Caenorhabditis elegans: one gene and its partner. The protein of the gene in region 1 interacts with the protein of each later gene in a biochemical or structural test. Each region holds a gene or a part of one and is shown on either strand. Other genes may lie near its edges.

What was found. Proteins that work in one complex are often made in the same cells at the same time.
Region 2: the proteins of ufm-1 (region 1) and odr-8 are reported together in a solved structure, tested with the Caenorhabditis elegans proteins (one study listed by BioGRID).

The regions. Positions count from the first base shown.
Region 1 is NC_003281.10:7,854,834-7,860,012, reverse strand, and holds ufm-1 (Ubiquitin-fold modifier 1), read right to left. Parts: upstream 1,035-5,179; 5' UTR 1,033-1,034; coding exon 944-1,032; intron 874-943; coding exon 678-873; 3' UTR 501-677; downstream 1-500. Other genes in the region: tomm-7 (Mitochondrial import receptor subunit TOM7 homolog), read right to left, coding at 1-3, 263-400; coq-5 (2-methoxy-6-polyprenyl-1,4-benzoquinol methylase, mitochondrial), read left to right, coding at 1,557-1,725, 1,855-2,117, 2,164-2,589; tag-307 (ApaG domain-containing protein), read left to right, coding at 2,771-2,862, 2,907-2,991, 3,038-3,123, 3,172-3,324, 3,511-4,002, 4,053-4,173; rpl-35 (Large ribosomal subunit protein uL29), read right to left, coding at 4,439-4,579, 4,633-4,863. UniProt on the Caenorhabditis elegans protein: Ubiquitin-like modifier which can be covalently attached via an isopeptide bond to substrate proteins as a monomer or a lysine-linked polymer.
Region 2 is NC_003282.8:6,577,985-6,585,126, reverse strand, and holds odr-8 (Ufm1-specific protease), read left to right. Parts: upstream 1-2,422; 5' UTR 2,423-2,466; coding exon 2,467-2,580; intron 2,581-2,736; coding exon 2,737-2,911; intron 2,912-2,955; coding exon 2,956-3,137; intron 3,138-3,188; coding exon 3,189-3,383; intron 3,384-3,428; coding exon 3,429-3,525; intron 3,526-3,571; coding exon 3,572-3,729; intron 3,730-3,776; coding exon 3,777-3,876; intron 3,877-3,923; coding exon 3,924-4,073; intron 4,074-4,348; coding exon 4,349-4,530; intron 4,531-4,575; coding exon 4,576-4,672; intron 4,673-4,717; coding exon 4,718-4,886; intron 4,887-4,936; coding exon 4,937-5,087; 3' UTR 5,088-5,291; downstream 5,292-7,142. Other genes in the region: F38A5.2 (TraB domain-containing protein), read left to right, coding at 1-218, 274-572, 628-753, 798-935, 981-1,295, 1,344-1,453, 1,982-1,982; C43G2.3 (uncharacterized protein), read right to left, coding at 5,767-5,914, 5,962-6,170, 6,518-6,589, 6,638-6,838, 6,886-6,888. UniProt on the Caenorhabditis elegans protein: Thiol protease which recognizes and hydrolyzes the peptide bond at the C-terminal Gly of ufm-1, a ubiquitin-like modifier protein bound to a number of target proteins.

The sequences.
Region 1 (5,179 bases):
GATCTGAAATATGAATTCTTAAATCTTTGAATTGAAAGCATAGGTGTTTTTGGTAAAACTTAAACTTTTGACAAATAAATTAAAAAATAATTGGCAGCGTCTCGCATGCAATTGTTCTATTTACACAACGAGAAACTTGTAAAGAAAATGCGGTATCTATATAAATGTTTGAATCTTGTGTATTATGGGACGCATTTTTTATTTATTACGCTCTCTCGGAGACGTGATTTTAAAACTAAATGTTTCTTTTTCTAGTTTTTACCTGTCCATTTGGCATTGGCTCAGCGCCTTTCTTAAATCCAAGGTAGACCACAAACGGCACGAATCCCCATTGGATTGCAAATGTGGAAATATCGACTGTCTTACCGATGAAAGACTTGGTAGCTGGGGAGAGCTTCATCTTAAATAAAATAATATAAGACTAAAAGTAAAGTAGTTTTAAAAAAGTAAGATAAAATGCGGAAGAGCAACCAGTATTGATAAATTGATTGAACAAGTTTGAGAAAAAAGCTTCATAGCGTACTTTGGAAAGGGGAATTTCAATAAATTAATATTTAGAAGAATTTAGATATTCAAATCTGACTTAGCGAGTTTAGGATAGAAATGCACAGAGACATCACATTTTGTAAAAATAATTATGTCATAATACAGGAATGTAGACAACAATTGGCTTATGCTCAATGGCCGACGCGATCACGTGGAATCAGACGAAGTTCACTTCCGTGCTTCAAAAAAATGTTTCCGGCAGGTTGAGCTGGATTGACGCCAACTCCGTCGTTCGTAATGATTGCTGATGTAGCCGCAGGGACCTTGAATTCTTCAGCGGCAAACTTGAGAACGGCGGTGAATGGGGTACTTTCCGGCACGGAGAGGCTGAAAAATTAATGCATGACGCAAAACTCCAAATCAAAAGTAAACCGAAAATTTAAATATAAAAACTTACACCTTGAATGGGAGCTTCGGATCACTTGTTAGAGTGATTTTGAAGGTCACCTTGGAACCGGCAGTTGTTGCTGCTGTTCCACCCGACATTCCTGAAAATCTCTCGCATAAAATCAATAATAATCGTCCAGTTTGTTTGAAAAATTGTTTTTTAAAAAGTCGAACAAATTGATAAAGAAAAGGACATAACAGAAATGCACAAAATAACCTGAAAAACTGAAAAACAATAGGAGAGAAAAACTGGAAAAATGCCAAGTGTCTCTTACAAAACTCGGCCACTTGACGGAACCTAGGCCAGTGATGGCGTGATCAAGAACTATAATATAATTCAATTATTTTTCATATGTTAAAGTTCGAGTGAAATTTAAATGAAGATTGTAGTTCGAACGCTAGTATTTAGTGTACAAATACCACAAAAACGAGAAATACGTCTCTTCAAAATTCATTATGGAGTGATGGCCTAGGAATCTCCACGGGAAAATGCGGTAGAATATTTCTTGCAAGAACTTTCAGAGTATCGTGATTTTTATCACTTAATTTATCATTCAACTTCGCAATTAAGTTCTCAAAATTTTCTCATCTTTTGTCCGAATTAAAACTCATTTATTTTCAGAATGAAAGGAGCAACAAACTTATTTAAAAGCATGAGAAAACCTACGAACGTTGGAAATTTCCGGCAGTTTTCGGTGAATCAAGTCAATTCAGATAATAAACGGTCAGAGCCCGGAAAGAAAACACATTTTGGATTCACTGACGTTGATGAGGCAGAGAAGGAGCAGAAAGGTTAGCTGTTCGATTCAGAAACGTAAAAAAGCTGATAGCCACAAATAATAATCACAAAGTTCTCTACATAAAATAAGCCCTTTTCCAACACATCTATATAATTTACTGATACTATATGTCTTTTTTTAGTTCACCACGTCTTCGCAAACGTCGCGAAAAAGTACGATTTGATGAATGATGCAATGAGCATGGGAGTTCACCGATTATGGAAAGACTATTATGTTGGTGGCCTGCAAGTACCGTATAATGCGAAATGTCTGGATATGGCAGGAGGAACCGGGGATATCGCTTTCAGAATTCTCAGACATTCGCCTACCGCAAAAGTGACAGTTTCCGATATTAATCAACCAATGCTCGATGTTGGAAAAAAACGAGCGGAGAAGGAGAGAGATGTAATTGTTTTTGAAAAAATTCCATATCCTTAATGTATTACTTCAGATCCAACCATCTCGCGCGGAATGGGTATGCGCTAACGCCGAGCAAATGCCATTTGAGTCGAACACTTACGATCTGTTCACAATGTCCTTCGGAATCAGAAATTGTACACACCCTGAAAAGGTTGTTCGTGAAGCTTTTCGTGTACTCAAACCTGGAGGTCAACTTGCTATTTTGGAGTTCTCAGAAGTGAATTCTGCACTGAAACCAATTTACGATGCATACTCCTTCAATGTGATCCCGGTTCTTGGAGAAATTCTTGCCAGTGATCGTGCCAGTTATCAATATTTGGTTGAGAGTATTCGTAAATTCCCGAATCAAGACGAGTTTGCAAGAATAATTAGAGAAGAAGGCTTTAGTAATGTTCGATACGAGAATTTGACATTTGGAGTGTGCTCGATTCATAAGGGGATGAAACCAAGAAAATAATTTATTCCTGTTTGTTTGTTCTTTTTAAAATTTCATTTAATTCCATTTTTCTAGGTGATATTCAGTATTTTTCGTGTAGAATTTTTGCATAAATTTAATTAAAGTTGTTATATTTGTATTTCCTGACATCTATGATTCCGTGGTTTATTCCCGTTGTTACTCAAAAAATCTGAAAAAATTCATGTTTATTCCAACAATTTCAGATATGAAACTTCGAAGTGCTATTCAGCACAGTGTAAGAAACTTTTCCGCTGGGAAAGTCTTACTGTCAAGGTAATTTATAGATGATTTCAGACTCGATAATCATCATTTTTAAGATTCAGAAGCGCCACAACGCCAATATTGAAAGAAATTGGACTTCTCTTGCCATCAACTAATAAACCAACATTTGAAGCTGGACAAGTTGGTTGACTCAATCCAGTTATTTTGCAAAAATATTAAATTGCAGATTTTCATTCACAAAACATTTGCTTACAAAGGAGTCGTTGTTTGCTCTTTTCCATGTAGATTACATGAAAAAAGAAGTCAACAAAAGTAAGTAGCAATAAATTTCTGCTATTCTGATTTTAAATTTTTTTTTAGCGAAAAGCATCTTCTTACGCGTGATTTCTACCAAGTTCTCATTCATCGCTATGACTGGAGTCATATGGGATTCCCAGTAGATATTACATCGTATTTGGTAGATGCACCAATGGAGAATAAAAGACACGGACAAAAAATGTTGACTCTAATCAAGTACGGTGATTTTTGTAAATGAGATAATTAAAAAATATTATTGATTGGAACAATCCTCAACACCAACACCTTTTTTGAAAGCGACAAAATCAGTTTTCTAAAAAATCAAAATAAAAATATGATTTCGTATATTTTAAAGAAATTTTTTCATAATAAAAACTCCTTCAATTCAAAAATTATTTTCAGTGGTATGGACTGTGTCTCACATGAAGATATTATCCCATTTACTCCATCCGGAGGTGTCAATTTTGACCACGATCTCTTCGACCACATTTTCAACGCATCTCACGATGGCATTGGACTTTATGATATTGCAATGAAGCCAGAACTTGTTGAAAGATACACAAATCCAAACAGATCATGGCTTGGACCTCGTGACGTCTATCGGGAAAGAACTGAAAACATAGAAGTAACTGTGATGACTTTCTATCTTGGTGCCAATATGGTTGGTGGACAGCAGCAGCATATGTGGAGATATGTCATCAGGATCGAGAATAAAAAACCAGAAAACGGGGTGATTTTAAGAGAAAGAACACTCAAGGTATATTCATTAAACAATATGAATCAAATGCATGGACATGGTGTCGTGGGAAAGCAACCTGAATTGAACGCAGCAACTCCGGCTTTCCAATTCAGCAGTACACTTGAACTGAAACATACGAAAGGCGGACACATGTGGTAAGAAAAAAGTTTCGTTTATTTTGTCACGAATCATCACTATTTTTGAGGGGTCGTTTTAAAATGGAAAGGGAGAACGGCGTTCTTTTCGACGTTCACATTCCTACAATCGTTTTCGAGTCAACGGAAGAAATCAATGAAACTCCAATTGCAGCTCCGGACGCAGCTTAATCGATAAATAATTGTTTAAACGCTGACAGCAATGTACAAAAATTTTCTTCAGTTGTAGGAAAAATGACTATTGGTGTTTCTGGTGCCTTAACCCCTTGTTTGAACTTTAAATATTTTTGTGTATTTCCAGGTGAACTTAGATACAATCTTTCAATGAACTTTTTTTGATTTGTATGAATGTCAAAATTACTAACATAAGCAACAATTTTCATTGAAATTGAACCAGAACAATGTCCATGAATGGATAACAATGAATACAAGCCACTTAAGCCTTGACTGCGAACTTTCTGACGGCTTGATTGCGAGACTTAGCCTGTTGCTTGGCAGATCGGAGGGAAAGCTCGTGAGCGGTCAGTCTTCTGCGGATGGCGCGGGTCTTCTTGAGGCGAAGATCAATTGGCTTGTACTGAAAATAATTACACAAGTTATATATTTTTTTTAAATACACGGTTAACGAACCTTGTGGTCAGCGTAGAACTTGCGGAGCTCTTGCTTTTGGGTCTGGTTGATGACAGTCAAGAGTCTGGCGATGTTCTTGCGGACAACGCGAATCTTGGAGAGCTTAGAGGCAGCTCCTCCAGTGACCTTCGAGACACGGAGAGTGGCAAGCTCGGTCTTTTGCTCGTCGAGTTTCTTTTGAAGGGCATCCTTCTTCTCGCCGCGGAGAGACTTGCACTTCAGCTTGGTCATGACTACTGTGGTAACCCTGAATAATGAGATTGCTTAAAAATTATAAATTATTTGCAAAAAAATATTAAGAAAACAAGAGAATGGAAAAAATCTATTTTGAAATATATTAGAGCGGAAATATTTTCGACAGACTTGTTAAATAGAATTTTGATCGTTAAACGAGAAGCAACGTTAAATCAACAAAAATAATAACGAAACGGAAAAATTCGATTTTTGGCCTAAATTAAAAATGGTGTTCCGTGAACCGAATTTTCTGTTTTTTACATTAATATCGATCATTTTTTGGAATAAAAATTGTTTGGTATAAAAATATTCG
Region 2 (7,142 bases), on another chromosome or scaffold:
TGGTGGTGCAAGTGAGACAGCCGAGCAGTCCATCATATCACTCGCAGATTCGACTTCAAATTTTGATGAGCATGTTGGAGATGATGCCGAGTTGGATTATGAGCTGGAACAAGCTCCTGAAGCAACAGAAGATGGTGCAGTGGTGAACAATCCTGTTTGTGGAGGGTACCATTTCGGAAGGAAAAGAGCAGATGACTTCGTCCCAAATGCCAATACAGGTTTCTTAAAACTCCAGTTCGATGTAACACTGATATCTATATTCTATAATTACAGTAACAGTGCTCAAATGGCCTACAAATCTGGCGATTCCTCCACGCAACCCCGTGCTGAGCGATTCTGATGAAGAATGGAAGAAAGCGATTCTCGACTCCACCATTTATCTCATCGGTACAGCTCACTTTTCAAAAGAGTCGCAGGAAGACGTATCCAACACAATTCGTGCTGTGCAACCTGATTTTGTCATGCTTGAGCTGTGTCCATCACGAATTTCAATCATATCGATGGATGAGGCTCGGCTTTTGAGCGAAGCGAAAGATCTCAACTCTCAAAAAATTATTCAGACCATGAAACAAGTGAGTTCTCATATTTTTGTTGTTGTAATGTTGTAATATTTTCAACTTTTTTAAGAACGGCGCGATTCAAGGAATTCTGCACGTTCTTCTCCTGTCAATGTCAGCGCATGTAACACGTGAACTTTCCATGGCTCCCGGAGGAGAATTCCGTGCTGCTCATCGTGCAGCAGTTGCAACTGAGGTTTGAGTATTTAAAAAGTTTTATTTACAAAGTAACTATTTCAGAATTGTCGTGTAGTTCTCGGTGATCGTCCTATTCAAGTTACACTTCAACGTGCACTGGCTTCTCTCTCCATCTGGCAAAAAATTCGCTTCTTCTTCCACGTTGCATTTTCACATCGTGAGAAGATAACTGCAGAAGAGGTATTTAATTATTCAACCTTTTCCAAAAATATTCCAAAATTATAGGTGGAACGATGCAAGCAACGTGACCTTCTGGAGCAACTTCTCGCCGAGATGGCTGATGATTTCCCACAACTATCCCAAATCTTTGTGGAAGAGCGTGATGCCTACATGACGCATGCTTTGCATATGCTCGTACACCGGAACTCAGTCGAAAAACGTGCACAATGGCTTCGTGGAACAACTGGGCAACAATTTCAACCGTTGACAGTTGTTGCTGTCGTTGGAATCGGACATACTCCAGGAATTGTTAACAAATGGAATACAAATATTGATTTTGATCCACTTATGAACATCCCACCACCAAGCCTCGGAACAAAGGTAAATTAATCTGAAGTTATTTTAATTCTTTCATTTCTTTATTTCCAGGTTTTCTCCACTGGCGTCCGTATTGTTGTCTGGGGATCTTTGGGATATTTGGCTTATCGTGGAGGACGTGCTATCTTCAATCGTGTTAGCACATTCATAGAGTCTCGTTGGTAGGTTGGAAATTTTTGTTTAAAATTTAGTTTTGGGAATGTTGAAATTAAACGATGAAATTAAACGTGAATTTTGCAAAATCAAGGTCGCACAGAGAGAGGCAGCGCGTAGTTTTGCAAGCCTGTGGCATTGTTTTCCACCGTTTTTTGGTGGTTTTTTTTCGATAAGTTCTCAATTTTACTGGTTTCACTATTTTTTCTAATGAAAATGTTACCTAATTCAATTCTCATACGATTATGAGGAAATTTCATGTTAGATTTGTTGTAAAAACGAAGTATTCTCACAATCTTATGGGAATTGAATTAGATACATAATATTTTTATTCAAAAAAAAAGAAGGAAAAACCGTACCACAGGGATGAGAAATTACGCGAATTACCAACTCCCCATTCAAAGAATGAAATAATAGCAAACCTAATCTCATTTTCGTGCTTCTCCCGTCTTCTCTCGTTATTAGCTTTTCTGGTATCACCTGCTCCGCACAAGTTACCCATGACAACCAACCCACTAACTCGTATATCTTTTCAGAACAACTCATTGATTGAAGCGGGCACAACAGCATAGCAGCCGTCTACATTCGATCTACAGGCGTTTTCATCGTTATTTTGTTCTTTCCTAAAATGTTTATGTCTAATTATTGGACTTTTAATCGCTTTTTCTTGTAATGTGATACGATTTCTAGGGTGTAGATAGGTTGAGAATTGAAACAAAATTTTTCTTCTCCCATTTTTTTCTAAACTATCCTTTTCTGTTAAATGCCCAAACAAATTGCAATTTATTTATTAGTCCCACCCGCTTCTTCCGTTTATCGATTGATTTATTCTCGTTTTCTTTGTAAAATACACAAATAATTTAAATTATTCATCTCTCTATTGCAAAATCCCCTTCTACAAGTCCCCATATTCAGCTCGCTGGTCGTATAAATGACACATTTCAATATTATTCTCTCGTGATTCGTGGTAATATCCATAAACTATTATTATCTTTTGAAAGGTGATTGGAAGAGAAGAAGAATGACGAATTCTCAAACTGTCTCACTAATTGGACCAACTCAGATGGCTCCACAATCAACACCTCCACCTCCTGTGAATGAATTGTGGTTTATTGATGCGCAGGCAATGTTTCAGGTAATTTATGTGGAAATGAGCTATGAAAGTTTTAAGAAGTGCTGAAATTATTCGATTTTCTATACTAGTTGAAAAACGGAAAAAAACGAAATAAAATCTGAAAACACTCCAAAATCAGTCTTGCGAGATAAAAGATTTCACACGAAATATTTTAAGAATTACGCCAACCTCCGCTCGTTCTCCAAATCCAATGCCAACGAAATTAATACGACAATTGGCGGATTCGTTTTCGGACGTAAAGCTCGGAAACAGGTTATCCATGTGCTATTCGCCTACGCTGAAGATCTGACTGAATCGAACAGACAATTCTTGGAGAGCTCTCTGTCTGCTGGTAATTAATGGAATAATATTATTAAAAACTGAGATTTAATTCAGATATTGAACTGGTTGGAAACTTGAATATTGATGGACAATCACAGATTCTTCCTGGCGGGCAGTTCACCCTTCAGCTGACATCTCGAATGCTTGAAAATCGAAGTATCAGCGAATTTTTGGATATGAATGTGATGTTCAACAATGAACATGTTCTTATGGAAGGAGCTAGTTGTGTCAGCAGAGTACGTTCCCATAAGATCTTTAAATTATTGAATAAAAACGGTCCGTTTCAGGTTGGATACGAGTGGTCACTTCGAGCAGGTCGTGAACAAGAAGATGTCAAATCTGCTGCCGAACGTCTTTCAATGGCTTCTTTTCGTTTCACATATCTAAACGCTGAACACGGGTTGGTGATCCGTGAGCAGAAGCCAGAAGCTGCTCAACAGAAGTATCTTGATAAATTCTCGAAAGGCGCTGTACCATATAAGGTTTGGAAATACTGTCTAAAATTAATATGATTGACGGAATTTCAGGATGTTATCGAATTCACTGCCATGCAATCTCTCACTAGGGATACATCTAATGATACGGAAGATCAAAAGCTGGTTCCAACAGTTAAGGTTACCAAGGGTAAAGAATTTTGTTATTTTATAAAGATATTAAATTCGTAATTTAGATAACAAACATTTCACTCGGCTCGTCACAATTGGTGAGGTAGTTTTCCCAGCGTTCTTTGGAGATTCTTCACTGGATTTGTACAAACGATCACGTGAGGCATTCAATAGAAGAGCTAACAATACAATGATGGTTACAGTCAATGGAATAAGAGCTGGGGTAAAAATTGAAATGTAATATTTTTTATATCGATTGATATCTTGCAGCGCGGAGTAACAACGACCACATCTGCAACTTATCTTCCACCTGGATGGGTTTCTCTACTTCATCTCCAACTTCCAACTAAATGGACGGACAATGAACAAAGTATTCATAGAAAGCGTTTCAACTTCTATAAAAATTCAATTTTCTAGGAAATTACCGTATTCGTCTTCACAAGTTGTTCAACTTGCCATCATCTAAGCCAGTTCTTCGATTGTCTCAAGCGTTGGCTCTCCACTCAGAGAGTGCTCGTTTGACCAACAAGAAGCTCATTCGAGAGCCACATTTGTCTATAACAAATTGTATGTTTAAAAATGGAGTACCGAAATTTGAGGCATTGCTTTGTTGGACCCAAAACTACAGAATTTCGTAATGAGACATCAAATTTTGCCAACTTGACAGACCCGGAAATTGCGGAAGTTTGAATCATCAAGTTGTCAAAATTCGAGATTTTAGCTGAAAAAAAAACCGCATTAACTTTTTCTTTTGAGAAATTTTCAGAACGTTTCATAACGAAATGCGGAAGTTTTTGGCAATTTTGGGTCTAAACAAGCAAAGACTCAGAATTAATTTTCAGATCAACCAGTTGGTGAAATAACCACTGTAAATGGGCCGTACAATTATCATCATTACATGCAAGATGGAATTGATGATAGTGGATGGGGATGTGCATATCGTAGTTTCCAAACTATCTGGAGTTGGTTCATTTTGAATGGATATACTGATAAACCTGTGCCAAGTCATCGGGAAATTCAGCAGGTTGGCTTAAGCAGATTTCAATTGAAGTTGTTTTATTTGTTGCAGGCGCTTGTTGATATTCAAGACAAGCAAGCGAAGTTTGTTGGTTCACGACAGTGGATTGGTAGTACTGAAATCAGTTTTGTGCTCAATGAGCTACTCAGTAAGTAGTTGTTGAGTAATTGTATTTAATAGTTAAACATTTCAGAGTTAGAATGCCGTTTCATCGCTACCAACTCGGGCGCAGAAGTTGTCGAAAGAGTTCGTGAACTTGCTCGACATTTTGAAACATCTGGAACTCCTGTTATGATCGGAGGAAATATGCTTGCACATACTATTCTTGGAGTCGATTTCAATGATACCACTGGAGAGACTAAGTGAGTTTTTTTTTTTCAAATTGGAAGTATAGCAACACAATAATTTCCAGATTCCTCGTTCTTGATCCTCATTACACTGGCTCCGAAGATATCAAAACAATCACTTCAAAAGGATGGTGTGCATGGAAACCAGCGAGCTTCTGGAGCAAAGATCATTTCTACAATATGGTCCTTCCTCAACCGCCTAGCGATGCTATTTGAGTGACTTTGTATTACCATGCCTATGAAAAACAATGCATTATATATCTAAATTATTGCCAACCTTCTACCCATTTACATTGTAATTCCTATATTTTTTTAAACCTGGATTAGTCCTTTCTCGTCTGTGATTAATTTATTTCCTCTATAGAGAAATGCTTTCTATAGCCCAACCAACGTTTTTTGGGAATAAAAAATTGGTCAAAAGTTGAGTACAAGTCAAGCATGGCGATCTAGAAACATCGAATTACCAATTGTTGGTTCTTCAAAAATTTCATTTTATTAACCATACGCAACTTTTGCGGGTTGTTGAGCTAAAAGAACTGTGCCCGGTTTTCCTTAAATGCAAATGGTACGCGCCTTTAACCGAGGACTGTAATTCCAAACTTTCGTTACTGCGGAATTTTTCATTCGATTAAAAAAACACTTTCTATTTATTAATAGTTAAATTTTATCAAATCGGAAGAAATGTTATATTATGAAAAATAAATGAAAATTCGGCAGCAAAAAAATTTTGAAATTACAGTACTTTTTCAACGCTCGAAAATTTGTCGTATCGAGACCATGTAACGTATTCTTGCGCAAAAATTGAAAGGTATTGTTTTGAACGAAAATTGTACACAATTCAATCCAACGAATTCATTTTTCAGTCATTTTATTCACAAAACATAAATCCATCAAATTAAATTGCTTCGCCCAATTGATCCGGTTCGAAATACATTCGTGCCCACTGGGTTAGTTGTCCTCCGAGTGGTTCAGAAACATAGATACCATGATCAGCAATCAATTCTTTAGGCCACGATTTGAAGCAAGTTTGGAAATCTTGATTTCTAAAAAGCAAATTGTTAAGTATTTCAAACGGCTTCCTAACACTCACATATTCTTACTTAGGCCATTGACGATGATTTTCTCAATAGCAATATGCTGGCTGGGATCAAACTTTTGATCTTTCAAGTTATCCAAACTGATGAATCGACCCATTTGCATTGTATCCGCTTTGTAACGGTAATCAACTTGGCCTGACAACATTTGTTTTATGGCACGAACAGAGATCATCGTCACCGTTGAATCGACAGGTTGACTTGACTAAAGTTTTTGAATAACTACCCAGACGCGAAACTTTTCGATCTTTGTTCAAGAAGTACGGTATCCGGTCTTGAGACGACAAAGTTTTTTAAATACAAAAGTGTGCGAGCCTTTAAAGAGTACTGTAATGCCAAACAATTTGGTAAACGTGGGTTTTACTTCAGGTTTTTTAAATGAAAAATAATCTTATCTAAAAAAATATATTAAAAATCGTTGAAAATTCCGCTGGAACGAAAGTTTGAAATTACAGTACCCTCAAAAGGCGCACACCTTTTTTGCATTTAAGAAACAATGTTCGTGGTGAGACCGGGAACCGTATTTCTGACGCAAATAGCACAGAAATATACCTTGGTACTTTGACATTTAAACTTGTACGTGCCAGTTTCAAATTTTCCCTGACAAAGATGATTTCCAACAATCTGAGAATAGATGAACGTCAGTCAGAAGAGATAATCTCTCAACAAAACCTGTCTCAAGTTATTCCCATTTTTAGGTCCAAGTTCCAGAACACGAGCATGAGTGATTTCGAGATATTTTTGTCCATTTTCCAAGTATTTCTTACATTGCCCATTTGGATCAAACATTTTGATTTCCATCGTAACAGCTGCATTCAGAAATTGAGCGGCTGAAATGATCAAACCAAGAGCTAAAAGCACATGATTCGAGAACTGAAATTTGAAGATTTTGGAAAGAAAGAAATATTAATAAAGCTCACCATTTTGAATCACACTTCTTCAAGTGGACTTGATACGGGAATAAATTGATTTTTTGATCGAACGGATAAATCTCGGGAAATATTTTTTTGTACCATGTCTTTCACGTGTGAAATTTCAAAATTACTTTTGAGCAAATTTTCGTCAGCGATGTGTGCATCCTTATGAACCTATCGTGAATTAAAGGCAAATCCGGAGGGTGCCTCTTTCCTTCAGTCTTGTATAAATTGTTACACTCTTTTACTTCTATTCTTGCAAA